Lytechinus pictus: one gene and its partners. The protein of the gene in region 1 binds, or shares a complex with, the protein of each later gene. Links are inferred from orthologs where the notes say so. Each region holds a gene or a part of one and is shown in the gene's direction. Other genes may lie near its edges. The genes, in order: corepressor interacting with RBPJ 1-like, histone deacetylase 3-like and deoxynucleotidyltransferase terminal-interacting protein 1-like.

The links.
Region 2: corepressor interacting with RBPJ 1-like (region 1) and histone deacetylase 3-like share a complex: the UniProt entries of both Homo sapiens proteins name them as parts of the notch corepressor complex. The link is inferred for Lytechinus pictus from reciprocal best matches to the Homo sapiens genes CIRSR and HDAC3.
Region 3: corepressor interacting with RBPJ 1-like (region 1) and deoxynucleotidyltransferase terminal-interacting protein 1-like share a complex: the UniProt entries of both Homo sapiens proteins name them as parts of the histone deacetylase complex. The link is inferred for Lytechinus pictus from reciprocal best matches to the Homo sapiens genes CIRSR and DNTTIP1.

Annotation. Positions count from the first base shown.
Region 1 is NC_087257.1:18,283,625-18,293,655, reverse strand, and holds the start of corepressor interacting with RBPJ 1-like, read left to right. Parts: upstream 1-5,029; 5' UTR 5,030-5,062; coding exon 5,063-5,151; intron 5,152-7,438; coding exon 7,439-7,682; intron 7,683-8,272; coding exon 8,273-8,419; intron 8,420-9,390; coding exon 9,391-9,488; intron 9,489-10,031. UniProt on the Homo sapiens protein: May modulate splice site selection during alternative splicing of pre-mRNAs. Regulates transcription and acts as corepressor for RBPJ. Recruits RBPJ to the Sin3-histone deacetylase complex (HDAC). Required for RBPJ-mediated repression of transcription.
Region 2 is NC_087255.1:32,555,226-32,565,609, reverse strand, and holds the start of histone deacetylase 3-like, read left to right. Parts: upstream 1-4,411; 5' UTR 4,412-4,489; coding exon 4,490-4,547; intron 4,548-6,180; coding exon 6,181-6,263; intron 6,264-6,524; coding exon 6,525-6,749; intron 6,750-7,347; coding exon 7,348-7,460; intron 7,461-7,921; coding exon 7,922-8,055; intron 8,056-8,606; coding exon 8,607-8,761; intron 8,762-10,175; coding exon 10,176-10,330; intron 10,331-10,384. Other genes in the region: uncharacterized protein LOC129271199, read right to left, coding at 3,994-4,236. UniProt on the Homo sapiens protein: Histone deacetylase that catalyzes the deacetylation of lysine residues on the N-terminal part of the core histones (H2A, H2B, H3 and H4), and some other non-histone substrates.
Region 3 is NC_087246.1:21,150,316-21,160,201, forward strand, and holds the start of deoxynucleotidyltransferase terminal-interacting protein 1-like, read left to right. Parts: upstream 1-5,515; 5' UTR 5,516-5,553; coding exon 5,554-5,634; intron 5,635-6,305; coding exon 6,306-6,394; intron 6,395-7,289; coding exon 7,290-7,395; intron 7,396-7,797; coding exon 7,798-7,896; intron 7,897-9,886. UniProt on the Homo sapiens protein: Increases DNTT terminal deoxynucleotidyltransferase activity (in vitro). Also acts as a transcriptional regulator, binding to the consensus sequence 5'-GNTGCATG-3' following an AT-tract.

The DNA of each region.
Region 1 (10,031 bases):
GCGTAAGATTTGACAAGTAAAAAGAAAAGATGGTGACTAAAAATAAAAGACTCATTTTGTCCGTGTAATATTTGGCAAGCCTCCCCCCCCCCCCAAGTTTAACATCTGAGCATGATCGGTTAAGGGTTAGCATTGAGGTGAAATTTTTTTTTAAAGATATTTCTATCAAAATTGCTTTTAAGATAATCTTTGATATCTCAGGTTTCAAAGAACTCAGTTTCATGAAGATTGATAAATCCGAAAGTACTGGAATAGTCCATTTTATTTGTAGGGGTGCTATTACCTCTCATCACGGACGGACATTTTTACTCAAATTAAATTCTCTCTAGTTTTATTGTTTTTAAAGTTATTCTAATTTGGTTTGGATGTTCTTGCATTCTGAACATTAATCTATTATCAAACATAAATTAGTAGAAAAAAAATATTGGGAAGTAATTTTTTTTGGTAGGTGTGAACATTTCCATTTTGAAATTTCCGTCCGTGATGAAAAAAAATATAAAAAGTTTTTTTATTTTTTATCAGAATAGAAATAAAAAATAAAAAGGTGTAGAGGTATCTCACTAAACACTGTACATCATTTTATTTGAACATAGCTGAAATCCATGCATTTTATCCATATCATAAACTCAATCAAAAATGATCACGGACGGACATTAATTTCATCACGGACGGACAATGTAAATTCACTCAAATTCAATTCACTCTATTTTTATTGTTTTCAAAGCTACTCCAATTTGGTTTGGATTTTCTTGTACTCTAAACATTAATCTATCATCAAACATAAATTAGTAGAAAAAATATGGGAAGTAAATTTTTCTGGTAGATGTTAACATTCCATTTTGAAATTTCCATCCGTGATGAAATTAATGGCTGTCCGTGATCATTTTTATTGAGTTTATGATATGGATAATATGTATGGATTCAGCTTTTTATTCTTTATCAGAATAGAAACAAAAATAAAAGTGTGCAGAAGCATCTCACTAGACACTGTACATCATTTCATTTGAATATAGCTAAAATCCATACATTTTATCCATATCATAAATCAATCAAAATAATCGCAGACGGACATTAATTTCATCACGGACAGACAATGAGCAAATACTGAGCAGATTATGAATTTAATTTTAGTTCCAATTTGCAGTGAAAAATGGTACTGAGAATTATTCAGAACTCAAATGGATGGAAACCTACAACTCTTCACAATTTTTTGTGAAATCTTTCTTTGGCTGTTATTGGGACTTAATTGTTGTCAGGAAATTTTTTTAAAACATAATTGGAATGCAGATAGAGTTGGAAGCTACATGTATGCCAAAAAGCAGGAAATGAAATAGAGCAAGAATAAGTCAAAAGCTGTATATTTCATCAATTGAAGCTTGCAGAAAGTGATGGAAAAGAAGAAAGTAGAATGCATATTCTGATAAGCAGAAAAAAAAAAAAAAATTCCATGTGCAAACCTATGGATTCACAATGCTTCTAACAGAACATGACATCACGTCCTTGAGGCTTGTGAAAAGTACAACAATTCCTTTTTTAAAGTCCATTTTGGAGCTAATTTTGAGCAAATTGCTGATCTGGTAATCTGAAAATGCATACAATTCATTAAAAAAATTTGCACTGCAGTGTTTTTAAGTTTAATTGGTATCTGATTTCAATTTTGGATTTGGTCAGTGCCTAAATACATGAGGCTGTTGATATGAAGGTGTGTCTCCACTTTAATATGGACAAAAGATGAATTTGAAGAGAGCCTGGACAAGTGTTGTGGTCATACTTGATCCACCAAACAAGCATAATGATCAGCAACCTGTGAATCTTTTGGATTTACTTAATGGACATTAAAAAAAAATATGTGCTCTTCGAAAATTAATGCCTAAAAATGTATGAACATTTATCATCATGATAAGTATCAACATGATCATTGATCCACTGGATGTTGATTTGGTACCAACTACAGTATTCTCTAAATTGAAAAGAAGACAATGTGCATTAGGATATTTGATTTTGAAAAGAACTGTCTTTAAAAGCAATCATATGGCTAGATTATTTTGTGTGTCTAGCATAGAAATCATGTTGCTACAACTTAAATCAAGTTGTAGCAACTTGATTGAAGTTGTAGCAACTTGATTGTGCAACTAATATTGTTTAATCATATAAAAAAATGTACAAAGCATCAATACATTAGCATTTGTTCCCCCAAACAAGTAATAAGAACTTCTTACAAGGTACTTCCAATGTATTTTATATGTGTCCGTCCGTGATGTCCGTCCGAGATGTCCGTCCGAGATGGAAAATATTTGCAATTCTCTCAGAAGTTTGATATTGGTTAAGAATTCAATATGCTGAACATAGAAGCTAACATACCCGAGTGTAAGTTGCATTAACAATTATTGGTCAATGTTAAGCTATTTAGATAGAAACAATAAAAATGTTCAAAAATTCTGAAAACCACATTTCTATCATGTCCGTCCGTGATATGGCACATTTAGTGGCTACCTATGTTTGTAGGTAACCATGGCAACAAACTTTTTTCATCATTCAGCATACTTTGTCCTACCCTTCACTATAAAACACAAAGGAACCATGTTCATCTTATTCCTAATTTGTTACAAGCCTTCAAAGTTTTCAAAATCTATCAAATGTCCGTCCGTGATGAACCGATCACGCTCATATCGGAGGCGCGATGGCTCAGTCGGTAGAGCAGGGGTTTCGGATTCCGGTGACCCGGGTTCGATTCCCAAGTGGTGCGCTAGTGCCCTCAAGGCTTATCCTCATTACCAGGTCCCTCGGAGAGGACCTTAAGCCGTTGGTCCCCTGGTTGCTTGCTCACAGGCATTCGTGCTTTTTTAGCAGTCAGGTAAAAAATCTCGATATAACATAACATTAAAAAAAAGTGAAGGTCATTTTGTCCTGCGTGAAATTTTAAAAGTAATAAAAAGATGGTCACTAAAATTGAAGTTCATTTTGTTTGTGAAATATTTGGCAAGCCCCCCTCCCAAAAAAAGGTTTTAACTAAAAATGATTGAAGGCCATTTTGTTCCTCTTAAAATTTGTCAAGTATAAAAAAAAAATCACTAAAAAATGAAGGTCATTTGTCCCACGTAAAATTTGACAAGCCCCCCCCCCCTAAAAAAAAATGAAAGGTAGCTGATAATGATTGAAGATCATTTTTTCTTGCATAACATTTTACAAAAAAAAGTGTGTCACTATTTGGCGAGCCCCCTACCCTCCAAAAAAAAGGTTTAATTAATAATGATCGAAGGTCATTTTGTCTCTCGTAAAATTTGACAAATAAAAAAAAAGTTGTCACTAAAAAAAGAAGGTCATCTTGTCGCGCGTTATATTTGGCAAGCCCCCACCCCCCTAAAAAAGTTTTTCATTAAATATAGAAAGTCATATGTTCAAAGTAAAATAAATTTGGGAAGCAAAAAAGAAAAGGACAAAAAAGAGCAAAGAATATGAACAAAATATCCCCATTACAAATATTGCTGTGATTTTCATAAGGAGGTGGGGGGGGGACTTAACTTTGTACGAACGACATTTTTTTTTTACATCCAAAATATTGACTATGAATCTCAAAAGGTGGAACGGGCCAGAAATGCTCAACCCCCCCCCCCCCCCCCCGATCTGCCATTGATTCCAATCGATAATGACTTTTCCCTGCAATACTGATGCTTGAAATCAAGATACTGAAGATTGATATATTGTAATATAAATTATGAACGTCTGACAAAAAGATAACCAACCGATCACCTGACCGATCAGCTGACCAGTACGTGAATCACATCGTAGTTGATCAGTCCCCACAGCGTTTGGAACGCTCACCAAGAATTCAAGAAAAAAGACTGAAAATGTAAGTTTAACCTCAATCCATTAAATTTCAAATGTCGTAGAAGTTTCCTTATCATGTTTAAAACTAATTAATACCTAAATTGTTACCATCCACTATGTATTAAGGCGTACATTTGCCAAAGTTCTTGGGTGCAAATAGAAACGGCAATGTCTAACCGGTTTTATCACTGATGTCGCCTATGAGGTCCATACATGTAATGTTTGGACCTCATTGGTACTAGGAGTGATCTCCAGTCTGTCCAGATCTCGATGTCGTTCGAATCCTCAGACATCACTTCGCGGATCGCTTGGATTCGCCGTGCGCCGTAATGTTGATATGGACTGAAGTTAGCAACCGAATCATGTGAACATGTGGCGAACAAACTGCCAGCATGCTGCAGGCGAATCTTTTGGTCGCATAACTTCAGTCCATATCAACATTACGGCGCACGGCGAATCCAAGCGATCCGCGAAGTGATGTCTGAGGATTCGGACAACGACATCGAGATCAAAGCTGAAATACAGCCGTTCCCGATCACGATATTTGGAAAAGAGATGGGTATATTGACCTCGAAATGTGACTGAGAGACATTTGGGAACAAGTATTGGTGATGAGGTATGCTGGTAATCGGCCGGTGCGAAACTGCATTAGCGCCAAAGTTTCAAACTCAAACTATTAATTAGATATAGGCCCTACTTTTTATTTCATTTTTTTCTTCAATTTTTGAATGTGCTCTATTTGGCCTTTTTGTCTTTTAATTTTCACCATCATGAACAGTTTGACTTTCTTTTAAAAAAAAAATTAAAAAATGCCAGATAATGAATGATGCATGTGCAGCTATATATGCAGGCCCTGAACAATTCACCAAAATGTAATTATTTGTTCACTTCAGTTTAGTCTACATACTACATGTATATAGTCTAACAAAAGTTATGCCTAACGACAAACGTCAGTCAGACTCACTACCTACATGTAGGCCTACTCACTAGTCTAGAATATTAACCTCGTACTAGTGTGTGTGGTCTAGATCTAGATTTAACGTTTACTTATTTAAGCAAGTTAACTTACATGTAGCTTACCTTTCACAAAATTTAGTTTCAGATGAATGATAATAATGTTTTATGTTTCTGATCTTTGTCCAAAGTATTTTCAAATTCAACCATTTTACACGTTCATCAAGCCAACTTGGTAATTAAATGTTTTTTGGTTTTTTTTGGTGTTGAACAGGTATGGATGGCAGAACAGAGAACTGATGCAGAAAAGAAAAAGCAAGAAGCCTTGAGATCTGAATATGAAAGAGAACAAGATACTTATAACAATAGGTAATATTGTTTGTCATGGTGTAATTGTTCCACTTTTGCAGGGCTCCTTTAGCAGACATTCAAACCGCTCCCTTTTTAGAGTATTTGTTCTTCTTTTTTTGCTATGAATACACCAATACTTTTTTGGTATGATTTGTTACTTTTTTTTTTCAATTTCCGATCATGGAGTATGTAATATACACAGCGTGTGACACTAGCACCGATCCGACAGTCCCAGACCTGTAAAAATCACTGTCGGGCCAGTAACTTGTTGCATGAAAAGAATAAGTGAATTCTTGCCTACATGAGCACATGTTTAAAAGGGTGAATTTTCAATTTTTCCAAGTAGAATCATTTCACATTTTTTTCACCGATCTCACTACAACAGGCTGGCAATTATTACGTTGAGACAAAACTTTAAAAAATCCTCTTTTTTTCTTCTAAGAATACTTTTTTTTGTTGTAGAAGGTTGGCAGGTCTGCATTAGGCAAATTCAGAAAAGCAGTTTCTGATCTCACCTTTTGAATAACACTAACAGGAGGATGAGGGTATTTTTTTTCTCTCCAAAACCACATTTCTCCCCCCCCCCCCCCCACCCCCAGATAACAGATGTAGTGTCTTTGGGCAAGACTTTCATTCAACGACCTGAAATAAGCAGAAATAAATCAAACTTGTGTCTTGAAATATTGAAAAAAAAAAATTGGGGGGGGGGATGCAGCAGCAAAAACAATGTATTTGGGGATGGGAAACTGATACTTTCTTTTACTTTGCCTATTCATACTGAGGCTCTTTGTGGCATTGAATGACGATGCCCTTCTTAAACTTAAAAGTAAGGTTAAGTACTTGGAAGACATGAATGAAAAGTAATGCAGTATTTAAATGGAAAGTCCACCCATACATCAAGTTAGATTTCCCAGTTGATTTTCATATTTCATGACCATCTGTTATCAATCTACAATCCCACAAACTGAATTTCATGTTTCTATACCATTTACTTGTATCATCAATCATCGGTCCCACAATCTGATTTCCAAGGTTTTTTTACCATGTTTTATCAATCTACAGTCCCACAGGCAGTTTATAATCACTCGCGTCGCGTTCTGGTTCGTAATCACTCGCGTTTTGGATTTTTGGCGATTTTTTTTATTTCGGTGCGATTTTTTTTTAACGGTGTCTTCAATGAAACAGACATGCAGGGAAATTTGAGTTTCGTTTTAAGCCGGCAATTAAGTGCCTTAAAATAAAATGTACTCGACTACTGTTTTAAGTACCAAGAATAGATAACAAGCTTGATCCACCCCAGACAGCTGGCAGCAGTCTGTTTTGAGGAGTTTTTTTCAAACATTTTTAATTTTTTTTAAAATTTCTCTGTATTTGTTCTTTTAAATTTCTCTGTATTTCTCTGTATTAGTTTTTTTTTATTTCTCTGTATTTGTCCTTATTGTTCATCTCCCTTCTCACTTCTTCCTTTTCTCTTCTCAGTCTTCCCCTTATTTTATCTTCTCTTTCTCTTCTTCTACATCCTCTCCTCAATTTTCTCTTTTTAATTTTATTTTTACCCCCTTATGTCCTCCATCTTCTTTTTTCTTCTTCTACTTCTCCTCCTCCTTCTTGCTTTTCTTCTTCAGCACTTTTTTCCCCCCTGATTTTTTACGTTAGTGTAGAATAATTCACAAAGAAAGGAAGAAGCAAATAAATAGTGATATTATGAAATTGTAGCACCTCACTATGCTTTATAAAGAATACCACAGACTTCAGGAAAATCCTCCAAAGGCAAAGCTAAATCGAGAGTAGCCTTTCCTCCTTTTTCTTCTTTATTCCTTTTCTCCTTTCTTTCTCCTTTTTTCCTTGCTTCTTTCTTTCTGTCTGTCTTTTTTCTTTCTTTCTCTTTTCTCCCTCTTTCCCTTCCTTTCTCCCCCCTCTCTCTTTTTTTAGGGGGAGCCCCCCCCCCCCGCTTCCGCCGCCTATGGCTCTAAGATTTAAGATGTGGAATGTGATTATGTTAAAACAGTAGTCAAAATTTGCCTGTTATCTTAAAACAGTGGTCGAGAACGTTTTATTTAAGGCACTTACCAGCTTAAAATAAAACGAAACTCGAATTTCAATTTCATTTTATTTTTCCAGTACGTTTGTCCCATTGAAGACACCGTTAGAAAAAAAATCGCACCGAAAAAAAAAAAATCGCCAAAAATAAAAAACGCGTGTGATTACCAACCCGACGCGAGTGATTACGAACGCGAGTGAATATAATAAGCCGTCCCACAAACTGTTTTTAATGTATCTATCACTGTCTTGAATCTCTATACAGGCAGCTAATGGGTGATGTACGGGTGAAGCATGGCCTGAATTTCATGTACGAACCGCCCAAGGGCATGAAGCAAGAAGAGAAGGAGGACGGGGATCAGGAGTACAAGTTTGAATGGCAGCGTGGGGCTCCTAGAGAAGGCTACGCCAAGGACATGGAAGTCACCGACCAACCCTTTGGTATCGCTGTCCGCAACGTCAAGTGTATCAGATGCCACAAGTGGGGCCATGTCAACACTGATAGAGAGGTATGCGATTTTCGGTGATGTTGCATGAAGCCAATTGTAAATTTATGCATAATATAGGTTCATATTACCCATTTGATCTTTTTGACCTAGTAAATTGGGTGAATACGAGTTTGTCTCAAAAACAAATTGACTAAATCAGATGACAGAATTAATGACAAAAAAATGGTCTACTACATGTAAGAGACAAAATCTTGTATTTCTAAATTCACCACTTAGCATGTTTGATCCTGAAATGGTTGTAATATGTAAAAAAAATATATTCTCTCTTACTGTTGTTATACATTTGAGTTCAGGTATCAGCACACACATAAACACTATAGGAATTCCATTTGCTCCCATCAATAACAGAAGCGCCAAGCTTGTTAACATGGAGACATCTTAGTTTGACCATTGTATTGCATTTCTTTTAGACACTAAATCCATCAGAATTCAAGTAAGTCATGTCACACACTTGGCTCTTTATTCTTGGAAAGTAGTATGATACAATTTTCAGAGGATATACAAGTCATGTATTTACCATTACCAGTACCCTGCTATCCCTATGATACAACACATTTTTTTGATAAACTTCCCATTGCTTTCATCTACAGTGCCCAAAGTTTGACCAGACCAAGGATGATGAGATTGCTGGACCCAGCACCGATAAATCTGACCTGATGGAGGATATGAGAAGGGGTGGGCTGGCCCTGAAACAGAACGTCCTCGGAAGGAAAGTCAATGAAGATGCTAAAAATCAGGTGAGATGACTGTCTGTATGCAAGTAGATGTCACGCTCTCTGTTGTATGTTTTGTGTAATGTGCTCTGAAGGCATGCCAATTCCTGTAATCAGATATGGTGGCTCAGCGTTAGAGTGCCGGCCCCACCAACTTGAGGTTGTGAGTTAGATCCCTGACTGAGCTTCACCAAACACTTGAAAAATGAGACCCTCCACCATACTGTCAGGCGCTCAATGTATGAGAATGGAAAAGGTTAATGATTTATGCAAGGACCGCTTGGTAATACCTAGGTTGGCATCTTTCATGTGACCTCGCCCTGGAATCTAATGTACTAGTACATCTTTTCTTAGCATGTTGGAGAATCTTGGTGGATAGAAGGGAAGAAAATGGCATTTAAATGTCACAGCAAAATATCTGTCATTTTGGAAATCATTTGTTTTTGCTTTTTTAACATTTAATTTCTCCTACAATTTCATTTTACCTTTGTTTGATTGAAATGAATATTGCGAGAACCAGTAGTAAAAACAGAAACATGGTTTTCAGATATTGGATCAGATTTGTCTTTATTATTCTCCCGCTATCTAAGTTTGGAGGAGTATATATATCCTGGAGGAATCTGCGTACAGTTGAACATGTGGTTTGGCAGTCTGTCTGTCGCAAATCCTGCGGGTCAAACTACTTCCCCAGTTTCTCTAACTTACTCTTGAAACTTGGCACACACCTTTGTTTTAGTGTGAAGACAAATCTTTTTATTGCATTGCCATGGTAATGACATGTTATGCCAATTAATTATAGAAAACTCTGACTATATGAGTCTTTCAAATTGTTGTACCAGTATTTTATTTACAACTCGTTTGTTTTCACAATTTTAAGGTACCATTTTTTTAAATGTAAAGATTTTACCTTATCACTTATAAAACGAAGTTGATTGGACATTAATAATTCCAATACAAATCTAATTAATCGCCCCAAATTTTATTTGATATTGCAGAAATTTGTTGGCAGCAGTGACGATGAGGATGAAGATGTGGAACCAGAAGAAGCTTTCCTCAAATCTCTCTCCATGAAAGATAAAGTGAAACTACTTAAGTAAGTATGCTCATGCTTACATTGATCCAAAAAGAATTTGTATGTTTCAAAATTCATGTGCCACCAACATTCAATAAGTTTTCCTACATACATGTAGAATTTGCTGCAAATGAGAATGGAAACATAGAAATATTTAACTCGGCAAGGAACCCAAAGCATGGGGAAGAATAACGACATCTTTTTAAAAAAAGTACAGTGGTTCTGTAATAGGAGAGAAATACAATGACTCATGCAGAGTGTTGAGTACTCTGTTGTTGACCAATCTGTTGAGGTTAACTTGCAGGAAGGCACAATAATTATCACAAAGGATGTGAAATGTGCAAAAAAAAAATTTTTGACTTGTTTTGTATCCTTCGCTATTCTGATACTTTTTACATTTGTTAGAAATCGTACAGTGGAACTTGCCGCAGTTGAATCTGCCGGGGTTGATAAAGTGGCTCTAACTAAATATTCATCTCAAGAAATTGACTGAAATATTTCAGTAAACTTGAGACATTATACTAGGAATCCTAAGCCAGGCATGTGACCTGTAGATATAGGCTT
Region 2 (10,384 bases), on another chromosome or scaffold:
GAAAGCAAGACAGAAACGAAGAAAGAAAGAAGAAAGAAAGAAAAGAAAAAGAATAAAAGAAAGGAAGAAAAAAAGAAAGGATAGATGTGAAGGAAGGAAATAAAGAAAGAACTAAAGAAGGAAAGGAAGGAAGGAATAAAGAAGGAATAAAGAAGGAACAAAAATAAAGAAAGAAGGAAATGAAAAAAAAAAGAAATGAAGGAAAGAAATGAAGCAATACAGAAAGAAAGAACAAATCTAGTAAGTAGTAAAGGAAAGAAAGAAGAAGCAATAAAAAAGAAAGGAAAAAAGGAGAGATGGAAAGGACAAAAGAAAGAATGAGAGGAAGGAAGGATTGAAAGGAATTAAGGAAGGAATAAAGGAAAGGTAAAATGATAGATAGAAGTAAATAAATAAAGGAAGGGAAGGAAAGAAAGAAGCAAGCAATATAAAAAAAGAAAAGGTAAAAGAATAGATGAAGGAAGAAAAAAAGAAAGACTGAGAGACAAAGAAAGGAAGGAATGAAAGAATAAAGGAGAGAAAGGAAGCAAGCAGTAAAAAAAGGTAGGTGAAAGGATAGATTTAACAAAGGGAAAAAGGAAAGAACAAGACAGATAGAAGAAGAATGAATGTAAGAAAGAGAGAAAGGGCTGGAAGAAGGAAGAAATAAAAAACAAGAAAGGGTAAATAAATGATGGATGGAAGGAAGAAAGAAACAAAGAGAGTAACAAAGAATGAAGGAGAGAAAAGGGTAAAAATAAGGAAGGAAAGAAAGGAATGAGAGAAGAGATGAATATAGGATGGATGGACTCAAGAATTAAAGAAAAAAAAATATCAAAAAGAAAGAAAGGAAGGAAGAAAGGAAGAAAGAAAGAACGAAAGAGAGAAAGGAAGGGAGGGAGGGAGGGAGGGAGGGAGGGAGGGAGGGAGGGAGGGAGGGAGGGAGGGAGGGAGGGAGGGAGGGAGGGAGGGAGGGAGGGAGGGAGGGAGGGAGGGAGGGAGGGAGGGAGGGAGGGAGGGAGGGAGGGAGGGAGGGAGGGAGGGAGGGAGGGAGGGAGGGAGGGAGGGAGGGAGGGAGGGAGGGAGGGAGGGAGGGAGGGAGGGAGGGAGGGAGGGAGGGAGGGAGGGAGGGAGGGAGGGAGGGAGGGAGGGAGGGAGGGAGGGAGGGAGGGAGGGAGGGAGGGAGGGAGGGAGGGAGGGAGGGAGGGAGGGAGGGAGGGAGGGAGGGAGGGAGGGAGGGAGGGAGGAAGGAAGGAAGGAAGGAAGGAAGGAAGGAAGGAAGAAAGAAAGAAAGAAAGAAAGAAAGAAAGAAAGAAAGAAAGAAAGAAAGAAAGAAAGAAAGAAAGAAAGAAAGAAAGAAAGAAAAAGAAAGAAAGAAAGAAAGAGAAAAAAGAAATAGAGAAAAATATTTTTTTAAAGGAAAGAAAGAATGAAAGAACAAATTAAAGAAAAAAGGAAATTAAAAAAAGAAAGACAGTAACAAAAAAATGAAAGAAGAGAGGGAAGAAACAAAGAAAGATTGAAAAGAAAGAAGGAAAGAAAGATAGGAAGAAAACAGAGGAAGAGAGCTAAAACTATCATCAAATAATTTATCAGTTTCTTTTTGGCTCAATTAAAATAGCTACGAAAGAAAGTCAGAAACCAAGTGTATCAACACACACATAAATGCATATGTGGGGCTATTATGTATTCAGACGCTATCACCCGAAACCCGATCTGTTTGAACCAAAACAGAAGTGAAAATTTCTCCTTTTACTGCTTACAAATGACAGAGTTACTCCAATTTTTAGGAAATATGGACATTATAAGAGCCTTTCATGAGTATGAACCGTGAATTTTGACAGTTCTTGTGAGATATTTCTGCCAGAGTTTAGCCAAGCTTCGTTCGCGCAGCCAGTAGAGAATTTACCACGTGGGTTGTGTAGCTGGCTACATGTACACTGTATGCTTCTCTAGTGTGTGTATTCTGTGTGTGAATGACAGAATTTACCGGGGGGAAATGGTTTGCAGTGAAATTTGACAATTTCTGGAAAAGTTATTGGCCCAACAATGGATTTTATTACTGGTCATGTCGGACCCTTAAATCTTGCTATTTTTGGAAAAATTACTGGCCCGACAATGATATTTTTTACTGGTCATGTCGGACCAGTAAATCTTCCTATTTCTGAAAATCTACTGGTCCGACAGCGATTTTTACCGGTCTGGGACCGTCGGACCGCCGCTAGTGTCGAGCCCTGAGTACACCTTACAAAAGGGATGGAGAGAAGACTTGACTAGGCACAACATCAGCTGTTCAAAAAAATCCTTGGTCTCCTTAGAACAGCAGCAGATGAAGTCATCTTTCTTCTCACTGGGCTCCTCCCTCTTAGTTCTCAAGTTGACCTTGAGAAGCTCCTCTTGATTGGACAAGCATTGTCATTTTTTAAAGCATTTTTAATTTTTTTTTTATTTCTCCTCGTACACAGACTGCTCACAAAGGTGCAGCCGCCATTAGGGGGTTTGCAATATAACCCCCCCCCCCCAGCGGGGATCTATTATTTTTTAGCAAATAAAAAACATTTAAACAAAAAGTACTGCACCTATAGCAAGATTATTATTCCGGTTTGGCCTGAAATGCACCAAAACGGAAAAAATAAACTTATAAGGGAAAAAACCAGTGACTTACTTCGGCTGTTGTCGCGCAACTCCCACTTAAATCCGAACTTAATACATAAACATATGGGCATTGAGTCCCTGTATAGATCAAGTTATAACTTTGAAGTTTCTAGCTTTGTGATGGTTATATTTAAAAACACAGAGCCACAAAAAATGACAAAGCAACCATCCTCCCATAATTTCTGAAGTACACCTTAGATTTAACATTATACCATATTCTATTCCTCCTATTAGATTAGAATTCTAAAGTAAATGAGAGGAAAAGAAAGAAAAGAAAAGAACAATCTTCTTCTTCTGCCTTTTCTTCTTCCAAGTTCCAGTCTGATACAGTCCGCCACTGGCGTATTATTGAACCTTGGAATGGATTGAGTTGGAAACTAACTTTAGTACCGTACTAGTAGTCTCTAACTTTGTTGTATGGTGGTGTGACCTTAATTCATGCATTACCTAATTTTGTGCACGGTAGAATCCCAATATCGAATCAAAATCTTGAAAAACTGATATCACCAACACTAAACAGATGCAAAATTACTTGGTATGGTACCGTAATTTTCTTGAAGGTAAGGTCTCAATTTGTGAAAATATTGGCAAAACATCTGCAAATTTTGTTACCATTTGCTTCCGCTCCGAGAAAATCCAAACTTCTCGACAAGCTTCCAGAAATCGCCAGTTTGCAAGCAGAGGTATCCAAACAAGTATAAAAAGTAAAATGATATACTTATAGTTATACCAACCGAATTTATAGCATTTTAACCTCCATCTAATACTATTACCTTTGTCTGCTTGATTTATTTTCGAAAGCTTTGCAAAACGATCGTGCGCAAATTAAGGTCACACTTTTTATGACACTTTGTTAGCCGAGCGCACACTACTAGTCGATCGTCATGGAATTTGAGATTGCGATACCGGCGAAACCCTGGCCTTGGCTTGGCCTACTTTATAATTCTGTCAAGCTAATTTGACTTTGGGATCTTGCCTTCCGTTTGGTATGTATGATTTTGATTAATTTTTATGTGAACTGTGTGTGAGAAAATTTGATTGAAAATCAACTTCATGATAATTTTTAAAATGTCCGCAAATTATGGTCGGTCACCCCATCATAATTTAACTTTATTTCTTAAACAATATAGGGCCTAGTCTGATTTCATTGAGATAGAACAAATGTTAAGTCTAACTCTAACTAAGTGAGACCACATGGCTTGCCTCCCATTAGAATAAAAGTACCCTGTTCAATTGTTGCGCAATTGCGCCTCTGCTCAAGTGCACGTGCATGATCAATATGTACCATCACGTAACATCAGATCTGCACCCCCGACGTTCCGGCAGCAAACTCCTGTCGCTCCCGCTGTGAACACTTACCCCGGGCACGACGTCAATGCTTTTGTACTTGACACTCTCGAGGAGACGTCGGAATTCAACTATAACTGGAACACACGTTATTTCTTGACTTGTTTTGCTATTTTCGATGCATTTTTCCGTTGACAATAGATCACTTGTTGTACCCTCAGCTGACTTAGTAATTGCTGGTCTGTTTTTACGTCGTTTAAATGTGAAGCTTGCAGTGCTTAGTCGCACCGAAATTGATCCCAAGGGCGCTGCCATCTTTATTTTCTAAACAGGCTCTACATGTAATATTCATTTATTATTTAAAAGTCTGGTTTGTAAAACCTAAAAAAAGGTGATATAATTGTAAAATTTTACTTAATCTTATTTGTATATTTACATGCAGATGGTAAGTCAGCAAATTAATTTTCAAAGTTTCATTAATTTTCCCAATGAATTCATACCAAGAACACAATTTAGTTGGAATGATTGAACTTCAATTGAGACTCCTATCGACTTATATTGTTCCACGATGTCGAGTAAAACAATAGCTTATTTCTACGATGCAGATGTCGGGAATTTTCACTATGGTTAGTCAAAGGTGGATGGATATGTATGATCTGTATCAGGAGCTTTCATGCAGTTAAAAAGAAGTTTTATTTATCATAACATTGTTTGGAGCTGGAGGCGGCCGCGGCGAAGTCATCCCCCATCTCGCGCACTCCATTCAATCACGAAACAAAGAACTGGCAGTGGCAACAGGCAATGAATGATTTTTGGGGGAGTGAACGTGTTGGAATGGATGGAAGGCCAGCCCAGGTCATGGCCGGGGGGTCACGGCAGCTGTTGCCAACATTTTTATTAAAAAGTCATAAATTGAGTCAAATGATAGAGCAAATGAGCCTGCGCTATATTCAATATTGGTCTGGGTGTGGGGGGGGGGGGTGGGTCAGGGTGGAGGCAAGTTGCGAACAAATTAGACAGCTGGCAGCCGTCTGTTTCGAGGAGTTTTTTAACATTTTTTTTTTTTTTTAATTTCTCCTCATACACAGACGGCTCGCTAGCGTGCAGCCACCATTAGGGGACTTGCAATGCAAAATCCCCCCGTCGGGGCTCTTCAATTTTTGTCTTTAATGAGTAAAAATTTTGAAAATTCACGCGACCAAAATGCAAATTGATATTCCCTCTTGGCATCAATTGCCAAAAAACGGAAAAAAATCAAGTTAAAAGGAACAAAAATAGTGACTTACCTCGGCTGTCGCGCAAATTCACTTCCCCGTTTTATCCGATCTTAAGTACATAAACATATGGCCATTGAGTCCCCTGTACAGATCGCGCTAGAACTTCAGTCTCTGTATTTGGTGAGTGAAGCCAACGGAGTTCAGCTGAACAACCAACATAACAGAGACCGAAGCTTTTGGTCTACGAACAAATAAGTCTTAAGCCTAAGCTCAGTCACTTACACACATGTGAGGTTAGTATGCTGTACTAACCTTGCACAATGTATGAGTTTTGACGATGGACATGTAATTTGTCCTCGTCTGTCACACGAATTTGGGTTGATAAACATGCCAAAATTTTCCCCAAAACAACACAAGTTTTAAAAGCAATAAGAACTAATATTCTTACTTTTCACCCAGTTTCACTTCTTTTCTACGCTTCTATCGGTCTCAAAATTGGTGATTTACATATTAATTCACTGCCGATTCCAAAGCATCGCAAACGCAAATTGCGCGGAAATCGAAGCTCAATTAATGAATATTCAACATGATAACATCGAGATCGTTTCGCATATGCATCAGATCAGGACGGGTTATGTGAGAATACTTCTTAGTTCGGGCTATCAATCTTGCAGCAGAGTTCTGTATTACTTCAGCCATGTTACAAAGCAAACTATTACAAAAATGCAAGTGACATGTCACGAGAGCCTGAACAAGTTTCTTTGTTGTTTTAGAGTCCAAACACAAACATATCTTTCCAAGTTTACTTTCCAGAGACAAATATGTCCAATGCCATATGCTGATCAAACAGAACACCCATATTTCTGGCCAAGACACTAGGAACAATAGAAACATCTTAATCAGGGGAAGTTGTAATCTTCTATGAAATCGAGATGCTATTTGTAAAACCTCTGTTTTCTCGTCATTTAGTTTGAGACCAGTTAGAATTGACCATTGCTTTATCTCTTTTACTTACTTTATCTCTTTTACTTTTACTTCTCAGGTCCTGGTCATCCCATGAAACCTCACAGATTAGCACTCACACACAATCTAGTACTCAACTATGGGCTCTACAAGAAAATGCAGGTAAGATCTCCCAACCAACTCATTTTAATGCCCTTGAAAATGCAAAATGATCTCTTATCAGTTGTAACTTAACCTTGTCATAGGGAGGATTTTAATGTTGTTGAGTTTTAATAGAATCAGAAATCTGTTTGACTTAGTCAAAATGTGTTAATAATGTTTTGATCTTGTCTGAAGAATTGATTCAGTGTAGGTGACGATTCAACTTACAGAAGGTTGACTATCACAGACTTAACTGCATTTTTTTGTTTGTTTCTGTTCTAGATTTACAGGCCATACAGGGCCACAGCTCACGACATGTGCAGATTCCATTCAGATGACTACATCGACTTTCTACAAAGAGTGACACCTCAGAACATCCAGAACTTCACCAAGAGTTTAAGTCATTTCAACGTCGGTGACGACTGTCCAGTGTTTCCAGGTCTCTTTGACTTCTGTTCAATGTACACTGGGGCATCGTTAGAAGCAGCAACCAAACTGAACAACAATGTGAGAATTTAAACATATTTTAGTATATAAATGAATACATGTTAGTATAGGAAAGTGATTTTTTTTTTTTGGGGGGGGGGATGGTTTTGCCTTTTGGTGTCCCATAAGAGAACAATATGTAATGTATATACAGTTTATGAAGCTTGTCAGCTAAGATAACTGTTTATTCTATGACAGTCCTGATTGTAACAGTTAGAGACCAATGCTTTCCAGCCAATCAAAATCAAGGATTTCACGGAAACTGTAGGCCTATAGAGATAGGATGTTGACAACTCTCTGACTTCTCCACCAGTGTACTTCTCATTTTTATTGAGACTATTATGTCAGACTGTACTATATATTTATCTCATAATTTTCAGGAATGATACCAATATTAAAAATGTTGTGATTTTGAGCAACATGTTTTGAAATAGATTTTGGAAGAATCATGCTGGGGCCAATTTGTGAAATCTCTATGTTATCTTTTCATCCCTCTTCATGTACAATATCTTTTTTTATATCACTGATTTAATTTTTATGTTTTTATAGTGGGAATAAATCTGAATTGTATTGAATGGAATTGAACTGTAAATTGTTAGAAAATTTGTTTCCATTGCAGCTATGTGACATTGCAGTAAACTGGGCTGGTGGGCTTCATCATGCAAAGAAGTTTGAGGCTTCCGGGTTCTGCTATGTCAATGATATTGTCATTGCTATTCTAGAAATTCTCAAGTAAGCCATGTTTCTATTTGATTTACGATCTTGAAAATAATCTTGTTCATAGGTTTTGTATCTTTGCTTAACATTTTTGAAGTATTGTTATCTTAGTAATATTGTCAGATTCAGAATTTCCTATATAATTAAAGTTATACATTTAGCTTAAGACATAGCAGTGCTAGCATGCCCTTTTCCCCAATCTGCTGTATAACAGGTTGTACAGTGTATCTTATTATTTTCTCAGCTTTATATGGTGAATCATGAAGAAAATTGCCTTTTTGTTAATACCGTTTTATATTTGCTGATATGATAAAGATGAACAAACAATGTAATTTCATTTAAGCTAGATGAACTACATCATAATTCTTTCAAATTAAATCTTTTCTGTCATTTTTCAATTCCTTTTTCACATAACTTAATCATCATTGTGCACATTATTTCATGAGATTCCCCATTCTTGTTCCCTTCTCTGCTAGATACCATCCTAGAGTGCTGTACATTGATATAGACATCCATCATGGAGATGGTGTTCAGGAAGCATTCTACCTCACAGACAGGGTCATGACAGTATCATTCCATAAATATGGCAATCACTTCTTTCCAGGCACAGGTAATGGGCCTGTTTCATAAAGAGTTACAACTTTGGTAACTTTGCCATTATGGCAACTACAGTGGTAACAGGGCTCAGTAGCCAATCACAATCAAGGCTTTTATGTGAGTTACAATAATAGTACAGTCACCATAGTTGTAAGTATTTGTGAAACAGGGCTAATGTGTAGGTAAAAGGCGTGTAATAATGAGTATACTTATTATTGTAAATCGATAATCAATAAATGGGGTATATTCATTTTTTATTTCATTCAATTCCCAACTCTGAATTTTCTTTCCCATCAATTGATATGTATGATGTAGATTCCATCAAGTGGTGTTAGACCAAGTGGATATTGAACAAAATGGGTAGAGCCTAACTGGAAATAAGACAAAATGCTAAATGGGAATAATGATAATTAGACCAAATGGTTAGTAGACAAACTGGTTGTAGTAAAAAAAACTGGTTGTAGGTTAAGTAGGATTAGACCATCTGGGGTGAGACCAAACGCAAAGTAGCGCAGCGGTTTTGTAGACCAATCAGCAGTTTACTGTTTATTTCTTTTCTTCCAGGTGACATGTATGAGGTAGGCTTAGAGAACGGGCGTTACTACTCCATCAACGTGCCTCTCAAGGATGGCATAGACGATCTCATGTACTCCGGTCTCTTTAAACCAGTTATACAGAGTGTCATGGAGTTCTATAGACCTACGTGTATAGTCTTGCAGGCAAGTCTCTCAAATTCACTTTCAAAGTGTAGATCTTTTTATTCTTATGCATAAAAAACCCTCAATAAATACACATCAAGCTATGCTGCCAACTGTGAAAAAAAAATCATTATTTGTTATGAAACTGTGACAGGAATGAAAATAGAAATAATAAAAGGAAAAAAGAGGGGTGAAAGAATTACTTGCGAAGGAATATGCATGATATTGTATCCAAACATTTACACATTAAAAGATAAATACCAGTTGTGGTAATGATCTCAAAATGAGTTCGAAGAGAATCCAATAAAATGATCACCCAAGTCTATGTATGTATAGATAAAAATATGTGATAAATGGCTCTGGAAAAAAAGTGCAATTGTTGAGAAATGAGCAAAATATTCCCAGAATTCCATAAAATGTTGGGTATTTTTCCAAGCAATATTAATACACTGTCCCACCTACTCCCTTTTGTGTTAGTTATCATTAGAATTATCGGTTTTCAGCTAAGATTTCATGATTTCACAAAGATAAGTTGATTTCAATGTAACAGATCTAGATCTATGATAATATGGTGGTAATTTATCTTGATTTTAAAGGCTTTCTCATGAAATAATTGTTTGCTGCAAGTACTTTATTTTACCTTTAAACAATGTAGAATCTAGTATACATGAATTTAGTAATAGAAGTGACTAGATTGTAGAGGAAAGTACTTGTGCATTTTTGTTGCATGAGGATGGTTAGGGTAAGGGTTAGAAATCAAAGAAATTGTATAAAAAAATTAAAACAAAAAATGTCTGCAAAAAAATGCAAATTCTGATGAAGAAATACCAATTTTGGAGGTACAGAATGAATATTGGCTATTTTGAAGGATGGCAGCTCTTTATATGTGTATTCATTTACATTCCATCTGACAAAGAAGTTAAGAATCTAAAGGCCACTGCACATCTTATGACCCGACTGGTCTACGACTGGCCTGTGACTGAGTGAGGGGAGATGTGACGTCACAGCTCTTGTCAGCTTGAGAGTCGCAGACCAGTCAGAGACAAGTCGCAAGGAAAATTGTAAGGATTTGACATGTCGAATCCTTATGACTGAATCGCAAGCTCAATCCAACTTCCAGCCAATTAGACAGCAGAGTTGCACGACGCGTATATGATATACATCGCGCATATGCTGTAGTAATTAAGCGCCATTTTCTCAGTTGCTATGGCAAAAAGCAAAAAGCGCATGCGTGAGTCACAGACAGCATGGTATTTGGATCGCAAGGTGTGCGGTGTTGAGGCCTATGACTACCTTGCGATTCATCTCTACTAACTCATTCGCAAGCCAGTCGTAGACCAGTTGGGTCGTAAGGTGTGCGGTGGCCTTAAAGCACCAACTGACTCCCACTTGTTAATCTCATTTCTAAGATGAATCTTTGTTTTAATCTCGACAGTGTGGAGCAGACTCTTTAGGCTGTGACAGATTAGGGTGCTTCAGTCTCAGTATCAAAGGCCATGGGGAATGTGTAGAGTACGTCAAACAATTTAATGTACCCCTACTAGTGATGGGTGGGGGCGGTTACACAGTCAGGAATGTAGCAAGGTGTTGGTGAGTATTGATGTCTATCTTTTGAGTAAGCAGGTTCCTAATTATTATTATTTA
Region 3 (9,886 bases), on another chromosome or scaffold:
CTTTAAAGGACAAGTCCACCCCAACAAAAACTTGATTTGAATAAAAAGAGAAAAATTCAACGAGCATAACACTGAAAATTTCATCAAAATCGGATGTAAAATAAGAAAGTTATGACATTTTAAAGTTTTGCTTCATTTCACAAAACAGTTATATGCGCATCCCGGTCGGTATGCAATTGAGGGAACCGATGACATCACTCACTCACTATTTCTTTTGTATTTTATTATGAAATATGAAATATTTTGATTTTCTCGTCATTGTCATATGAAATGAAGTTTCATTCCTCCCTGAACACTTTGTGGTTCAGGCAATGAGGTCCTAATCGTCAAATTGGTAAAAATTGAAATATTGTATAATTCAAACAATAAAAAACAAAAGAAATAGTGAGTGAGTGACATCATCGACTCTCTAATTTGGATGTTACTGGCTCGTTCATATAACTATTTTGTTAAAAATAAGCGAAACTTTGAAATGTCATAACTTTCTTATTTTACATCCGATTTTGATGAAATTTTTAGCATTGTGCTAGTCTGATTTTTCTCTATTGATTCAAATCAACATTTTTCTGAGGTGGACTTGACCTTTAAATTTCCTTCCTTCTTTTGTTCATTTTTTTTCTGTTACTATAGCTGTCTTTCTTTTTTGGCATTCTTTTCTTTCTATCTTTTTTTTCTTTCTTCCTTCCATCCAACCTTTGTTTACCTCTTTCTTTAATCCTTCTTTTTCCTCTTCCTTTCATTCTTTCTTACTGTCTTCCTTCCTTCCGTCCATCCATTCTTTTCCTTTTCTTCCTTACTTTCTTCATCCCTTTCATTCTTTCTTTTCTTTCTTTATTTCTTTCCTTCATTCCTTCCTTTCTTTTTGTCTTTCATTCTTTCTTTCTCTTTCCTTCCTTTCTTTCTTTCTGATTTTCTTTATTTCTGTCTTTTGTTCTTTTGATCTTTCTTTTTTCCATCCATCCTTTCTTTTCTTATTTTTTCTTTTTGCCTTCCTTCATCTCTTTCCTTCATTCCTTCCTTCATTTCTTTCTGTCTTTTGTTCTATCTTTTATTTCTTTTTTTCCTTCCTTCCATCTATCATTATACCTTTTCTTTCTTCCTTCTTTCCCTTCTCTCGTTTTCTTTCTTTCCCTTTTCCTTCCTTCCATCAATCCTTTACATTTTCCTTTTGTCTCTTCCTTTCTTTCTTTTCACTTTTTTTTTATTCGTTCCTTCCTTTCTCTTCCCCTCATTTTTTTCTCTTCATTTTCTTTCTTTCTTTTTTATTTCCTTCTTTCTTCCTTTCTTTTTCTTTCCTTCTTTCTTTCAGATTTTTTTTTTCTTTCGTTCTTTTGATCTTTCTTTTTTTCCCATCCATCCTTTCTTTTCTTCCTTATTTTTTCTTTCTGCCTTCCTTCATCTCTTTTGTTCATTCCTTCCTTCATTTCTTTCTGTCTTTCGTTCTATCTTTCTTTTTTTCTTTTTTCCTTCCTTCCATCTATCATTATACCTTTTCTTTCTTCCTTCTTTCCTTTCTCTCGTTTTCTTTCTTTTCCTTCCTTCCATCAATCCTTTACCTTTTCTTTTTCTCTTTTCTTTCTTCCTATCTTTCTCTTTAACATTTTTCTTTCTTTTTCTTTTTTATTTGTTCCTTTCTTTCCTTCCTTTCTCTTCCCCTCATTTTTTGTCTCACCTGCATAGCAGAGTGAGACTATAGGCGCCGCTTTTCCGACGGCGGCGGCGACGGCGGCGTCAACACCAAATCTTAACCTGAGGTTAAGTTTTTGAAATGACAGCATAACTTAGAAAGTATATGGACCTAGTTTATGAAACTTGGCCATAAGGTTAATCAAGTATTACTGAACATCCTGCCTGAGTTTCATGTCACATGACCAAGGTCAAAGGTCATTTAGGGTCAATGAACTTAGACCATGTTGGGGGAATCAACATCAAAATCTTAACCTAAGGTTAAGTTTTAGAAATGTCATCATAACTTAGAAAATATATGGACCTAGTTCATGAAACGTATACATAAGGTTAATCAAGTATCACTGAACATCCTGCTTGAGTTTCACATCACATGACCAAGGTCAAAGGTCATTTAGGGTCAATGAACTTTGGCCGAATTGGGGGTATCTGTTGAATTACCATCATAGCTTTGAAAGTTTATGGATCTGATTCATGAAACTTGGACATAATAGTAATAAAGTATTACTGAACATCCTGTGCAAGTTTCAGGTCACATGATCAAGGTCAAATGTCATTTAGGGTCAATGAACTTTGGCCAAATTGGGGTATTTGTTGAATTACAGCCATAAATTTGAAAGTGTGTTGGTCTAGTTCATAAAACTTGGACATGATAGTAATCAAGTATCACTGAACATCCTGTGCGAGTTTCAGGTCACATGATCAAGGTCAAAGGTCATGTAAGGTCAAAGAACTTTGGCCACGTTGGGGGTATTTGTTGAATTGCCATCATATCTCTATAAGTGTATTGGTCTAGTTCATAAAACGTGGAAATAAGAGTAACCAAGTATCACTGAACATCTTGTGCGAGTTATAGTAGTTTTCAAAATCAGCACTGCTGCTATATTGAATCGCGTGATGCAGGTGAGACGGCCAGAGGCATTCCACTTGTTTTTCTATTTTTTCTTTCTTTCTATCCTTCTTTCCCTTCTTTCTTTCTTTCCATCTTTCTCTTCCCCGCAGCCATTCTCTCTCTCTCTTTATTTCTTTTTTTCTATAATTCTTCCTTTATTTCTTCCTCTCTGTCTTTCTTCTTATTTTTTTTCTTTTATTCTCTCCCCCTCTCTTAATTTCTTTTTTTTCCTATGGTTATTTTCAGTGATTTCCCCTTTTTTTATTGTGTGTCCTAGTCCCCTCCAAAATATATGGAAAATATATGAGATTAGGAAATTAATTAAGAGCATATTGACCATATATTTTGTCATGATGTTCAAGATAAAAAAATAAAAAAAATACAACTACAAGGTCAGGTACATCAGTAGTCATGTTAAAAAATGTATTTTTAAAGCCGTCAATGGTATGGTATGTAAAACCATAAAACCTAACTTGTTTTGAAGCAATAAAACTTTGTTTTGAAGGATTTTTTCGGGCAAGTGAAATCTATATTCGGGCAAGTATTTCCCAACTATTTGAAAATTTACTTGCCCGACTGGGCAAGTGCTTCAAAAAGTTATGTAGCCCCCTGCCCTATTGTCTTTGCGTTGTGTACATTTGGATCGAGGGATCTACATGACATCGGTCTGGTAAGAAACCTTTATTTTTTCACATTTTAATTGAATATTTTTTTAAACCTTCTCATGCATTAGGCGTAGGAAGGTGTGGAGAATAATAAAAACCCGTTCATTTACGTGATTTTTAATAAAAGAGATGGATTTCCTAGGGAGATCCATCTTTGTTTACATGTCTCTCTTATGCATATATATGGGAGGGGATTCAAGACTCCAATGATGAAGAAGTATATGTCAAATTTTTTTAAAAGACATCATCATGGAGTCCTCAAGACTAGGCCTAACGTCAATGACAACGAGGCTTTTAATAGGGTGTATGGAGAAAAAAATTATTTTTCTTATTTCAAGAAAATATCACATTTTCTTTGTGAATTTGAAGAGAAATAACCTTCAGACTGACAGAAATGTAACATTTTTGAAAAAAAATCCAATTATTGGCTGCAAAAAAGAAGAATGAAATTAGGTCAATTTTCAGCATTTCTCTGCCATAGGCATACATAGACTGTGTAGTTAAGAAATGGACAAACACAATTCAAAATTTTTAGCTTCCGAGAGCTGTTATAAATTCATCATTAATGCCAAAAACTTGTCCATAAAGAGTCTAATAAGATTTTTTTATGCTCTTTCTGATGGTATGATTTTTATAAAGATTTGGAAACCAGATCACAATGAAAAATTGCGACGAAGTGAAAAAAATTGTGCAAAACAGACATTTCATTATCCCATAGAAAACGCATGGGGAAATGACAATCTCAACACACACAAATGAGGGTTTGCAATTTATCTCTAAATCCTTATTTAAAATGATCATATAAACTTGTCCTTACTGTCAAAAGAAGCCCTTGAATCTTCTCTTTCCATACATGCCAAACACAAGTTAATAATAAATTCAGATCACATTTTCCCCCTAAATCAGCCTGTTTTATGCTGACACTTCAGTGTGGCTTCAGACACCCTACTATTAACGTTGTCGTTAGATCTTGAATCTAATTCTAAGACTAACGTTAAGACTAACGTTAAGCCTAACTTGTTAATTTTGTATTTGTGGACGCGACCAATCGCAAGTCTATTGTTAAATCAATCATTTCTTTTGTAATTAATTGTAAATTTGTGATTGATTGTTGAACTAGAAAATGTACAAACAAGGGCTACTAAATTGGTACCTGAGCGCACTGGTCAACATATCATATAGTCTATAAGGATTATGCTCGGGCACTTTGTTCAATAATTGGTGCTTTTATACTTTTCAATTGTCATAGAGTTCTTTACATGGATGGCTGACAGTTGGTCCTAAGGGGGAGATGCCTGCCCCTCAAATTTTGAATTTTGTGCAGCAAACTTCTGGGGTTTTGTCTGTGTCTTCTCATAGAATGACTTAAAAAATGTCATGAAATTTCAATGCATGATTGAAAGTTTTGCATTGTGACAAGTTTCATTGCTGGAGTTATCAAGTTCAGATGCCATACAACTTGAATCCTTTCATGGACCAATACTTGGATTCCTTAGACGTAGGATTTAGATCCACGTTTAAAGTCAAGTTGGAGACAAGACAAGTAAGAACATTGAATTGAACCAAGACTGAACAGGAGCGGGGGAAATTTAAAGGGGAATCCAACCCAAATAAAAACTTGTTTTTATAAGGAAAAGAAAAATCAGACAAGTTGATAGGTGAAAGTTTGAACAATATTCGACAAACAACAAGAAAGTTATGAATTTTTAAAAGTTGTAAATATTGTTAATCACTATACCCATGGAGACTTCAAATTGGCCGCATAGGGGATGTCATAGTGATGTAAGGCAAGGACTACTCTTCCATGTACTCCAATACATATTATGGCTTAAATGTCATTTTCCCCAAAAGTTTTATTTCAAATTATATTTTTCTTTCATGAGGAAATAAAACAATATACTACCTGGATTATATTTAGATTACTGCCCCAGGGGAAGGGGTACTTAGGAGAAAACCACAAATCCCTGATTATAAAGTACATGGCCTATGGGAAAGTTGTCCTTGCCCTTTGTCATAATTTACTTACCCAGTTGCCAATTTGAAATTTACATAGTATTATTGATCTCAATTTTAAAGCAGCTATAACTTTCTTATTGCTTGTTCGATTTCTTTCAAACTTTCACCATTCTGTTTAATTTATTTTTCTCCTTCCCAACACAACATTTTATGGGCAAGGCTGGATTCCCCTTTAAGCACTTTCCATTTTCACAGGAAAAAATCATCAATCCTAGACAGTGTATCACACTACAATGCTGACAAATTTTGTTATGATTTCCTTTCAGGTACAAATACAATAAAGAATTTGACAGGATGAGTTCTGTTGAAAGCCTGTCACCGCACTGGACGAATGAAAGACTCACCAAGAAGAAGGCCCTCCTATGTAACAAGATAGTAAGCATCCCATTCATAACTTTAAATATCTATTCTATGTCTGTCTGTGTCTCTCCCAGGGCTAGTGCATTCGAGCGAATGGGTGACCACCCCACCCTCTATCATATTTCAAAGTAGTCGGGGCAAAAATAGAAAATTGGGGGGAGGAGAAGAGGGAGAGAAAGAAAGAAAGGAGAATATGTAAAGAAAGGTTTTGATTGTTTAACTCTATTATACCCTTAAAAAAAAATAACACAATTTTTTAATTATCTTGACACCCCCCTTCCCAAATCATAACATTAGTCATAGAAGATAGGGGTCATGATTCATTTCTCAAATCTGATATTACCAAGTTAATACATTTAGAGTGTTAGACATTATCAGATAAAAGGGAGAGAGTTGGTCAATAAAGGTATTTTTTTCATCGTTGGTGATGTGGAATGTATGCCATGATTATAATTTCCAATAAAGATTTTGGATACTTTCAAGTTGGTACAGTGTATTTTTTAAAGGTGGAGAAGCGATTTATCCATGTTATGGAGAAATGAAATGGTATGATATACTATTAATTAAATGGATGAGTATATTTTTCTCAATTATAGCTACATGTACAGCATTACACAAGTATGTGCTTAATGTTATTAATAATTGTGGGTGTGTTTTTCTTTACAAACTTGTTGTACTCTTTGCAGAAGAATCCATATTGCATGTCTTTGAAGACCTTTCCTACCAACAAACATCAGCGGCTCACCAGGCAACCTGGTGTTAACTTCAAGACAAGGTAGGAACATGTGATGGTAGAACAACAAAAATTCAAGAAAGTGTGATATTCTCACTTGTGTAACTTTATCCTTATCTCAAGTTTTTCTTTCTTTTATATTAAAAAATATATGATAACACATTGTTGGCTTGAATGTCGAATGGTACTCATCATCTCTTTATTAACTCATCAAGATAAGAAGTGTTTCAATAAGTACATGGATTCAGTGGCGGACCGTGAGCCGGAGGAGACAAAGCATTGGAGGAGCACAGCATTGTTCACAAACAAAACAGTGCTGCCTCCAATCATTGTCTTCACGGGTCATGGTCCGACAATGCATGGATTACATGCAGAACATGGTTATAGGTGTTATTCATAGCATACTTTGCTGTATCTCTGTATCTTGAATGGTAACACTTGAATATGGAATTTTATTTGAAAGAGATATATGAACTGGACAAAAATGCTATATTATTGCTGATCCTGAATATAAGTCATTTTACTTGAGCTAATCATTACATATTTTGAAGTGGTAGCTTTTCATGAAAATTCTGATTTTATAATTCATTTTCACTATTATTCATATTTAGGTTGTTTTTTTTTAAGTATGAAAATGAATAGAAAATTAAAAACTGTGGCCAATTTAAGGAGAAAACAGACAAATAAAAGATGTGGTCTCTAATGTAAGATGTTTGCTGTTGACTGAATCCTGTAATTTCCATAGACTTTATTTGTGGACTACCTCAATCCACGAAGCAACGGATTCATTTTCAGATTAAGAGTTTTAAGATTAACACTTTCTTAATGTTTGTTTTGATTAGACATTTGCTCCAAAATATCCCACTTGTAGTATGGAAATTACCAGATTTATCTTATGTACATTTACATATCTTATTTGTCATTGTTTTGTATGCAGGAGTGGCGTGGTGTTCAATCCCATCACGCCCTTGGAGATTTTACGAGGGACATTGCAGAAACGAATTAATAAAGATATCCATTGTATATTCCAGTATTATGCTCAGGTTGGTACGATTGTTCTTATTTCATTGGCAAAATATTGTGTCTTGGGGCAACCTTTAACATTCAAGTATCTTAAAAGAACCTGTCCTATGGAGAGGTCACAGGTCATGTTGCTTAAATGTGAAACACAACCCTGAACAAATTTTGTATTTCTTTCAAGTGTATAGTTTTGTCTTTTTGTTTAATGTAGGCCTCTATAGATAATGTACCTGTAAGTGATCCCTTGCTCTAACAATACTATAATTGAGTGGAATCTGATCATATTTTAGTCACTTTCAGGCTTTGTTGTCTGGTGGGATGATATCAAATATGCCTTTATAAAGAAATGCACTAAGTATTATGTATATCTATGACTATACTGATTAGATTAAGCAACATTTTCATTTTTTATATTTTTTTCAAAGTATTTCTACATGGCTGTTGAAAACATGAGAGAGAACTATGGAGCGGACAGCGTGACTGAAGAACATGTTCTCACCGTCTTCAGGAATAGCTTGGAGGCCGTAAGTTGGCTAATTTAAGCTGAACCAAGTGGAATTCTGATTCTCTCAGTATTTTCATTTCATTAAGGGAATAATAAAAAGAACAATTATTGAATTGAAAATAGAATGAATAATGACAAAATAGTTCTGTTGGTTTTAAATGAAAGAAGGGAGAAGAAGAATGGATTGAATACTCCATATGTCATTCGGAATCTTACTTCACTTTGGTTGTTCAACCAGCTTTAAGTGCTCTTCATCACCTAGAGTGGAGTAAACTTGTTTGAATAGACATTGGGTGATTTCAAGTTTGGTGTTGGGGTTGATGCTGCCACCAAACGGATATCCGAACGGTTTCCGCCCGCGTGGACGGATAACGGTTTTCATTTTTCGGGTTCGGGTATCCGTGGACACTGATTCACCACTTTCCTGTCACAAAAACTCATTACATTTAGTAAGACTCACCAACAAAATTTATAAGTTTTAGTCGCCAATATATCACCAATATCATTTAATCTTCTTCTGTAATATATTCCCGCCGAAAACCATCGTTTTTATCAGTTTTGAAACATGACCTTATATCAGTTTTAGAGATTGACTGTCCGTGAATGGAGTAAAGTTCCGTTCTGACAACGATGGCGATTTTACTATGGTGTCGCTTAAGATCGTTTTTCTTTCCCGTCTTATGTTTTGATGATTTCAAATGCGTAACTCATCGCATATTTTCTTACCTCGACTTTCAATGCGAGTGAAGAATGAAAATAATTTGAAACCATTTAAGCGTCAAATAAATGTTGATCGTGTTACTCGGGTGTGTCATGTTGTTTCTTGTAATTTATTCATCAAATGCAAAATGAATTCTACTTTTTCTCACAGCAACTTTGGTTACCAATGAAGATGATTATTTTTGAAACTATGAAAAGTTGAAAACGTCGAATGAATGTTGATTGCGTGTGTCATGTCGTTTCTTGTAATTTATTCATCAAATGCAAAATGAATTCTACTTTTTCTCACAGCAACTTTGGTTACAAATGAAGATGATTATTTTTGAAACTATGAAAAGTTGAAAACGTCGAATGAATGTTGATTGCGTGTGTCATGTTGTTTCTTGTAATTTATTCATCAAATGCAAAATGAATTCTACTTTTTCTCACAGCAACTTTGGTTACAAATGAAGATGATTATTTTTTAAACTATGAAAACGTCGAATGAATGTTGGCTGCGTGTGTCATGTTGTTTTTTGTAATTAATTTAAATTGAAATGCGTAACGACATATTCATTTTCAGTACTTTTTTCTCACATCAACTTTCGATATGAATGAAGAATGAAGATAATTTTGAAATCATGTAAACGTCAAATACATGTTGATTGGCCGTTTTATTTTGTTTCTTTTGACTTATTTATCAAATCTGAAATAATGATTCATCCCTTTTCTTTCTTGAACTGTCATTAATAATAATTAATTAGAATGAAACTGTCCATTATCTAGATGTCAATTATATTTGTGTTATTGCAAATTTTAAATTGTTCACGTATGTTTATATTTTGATAACTTGTTCGTAGAAACTTATATCAGGATCAAAACTTCATATTTTATTCTGGTAGAATTATTGAATTATGAAAGAATGATAATTGTCAATTGAAAATCTCTTTCATGAATTAATATTTAATATATAAATTACAAAACACACAATTTCCTTTATTTCAGTTTAAATGGCATATCCACTGTAAATTTTGATATCCACCATCACGTAAACAACAATTATTTAAAAGGCGGTATCCGATCGTGCCAGAAAGGTTTATGATGTGCGCCTGCCGAGTATGTGGTCGGTTGTGAATCGACGTGTTTTGCAGTAAAACTTACAGGTGATGAATGTAAGTGATTAGTTACTGTTACTGTGATTAAATCTTGTCTTGAATCTTTGTTTAGAAGTGTGATTATGTTTCAGAAGTTGGGAAATGTGAAGCTTGGCTATAATTTGGGGAATGGGGAGAAACCCGACATGAAAATGA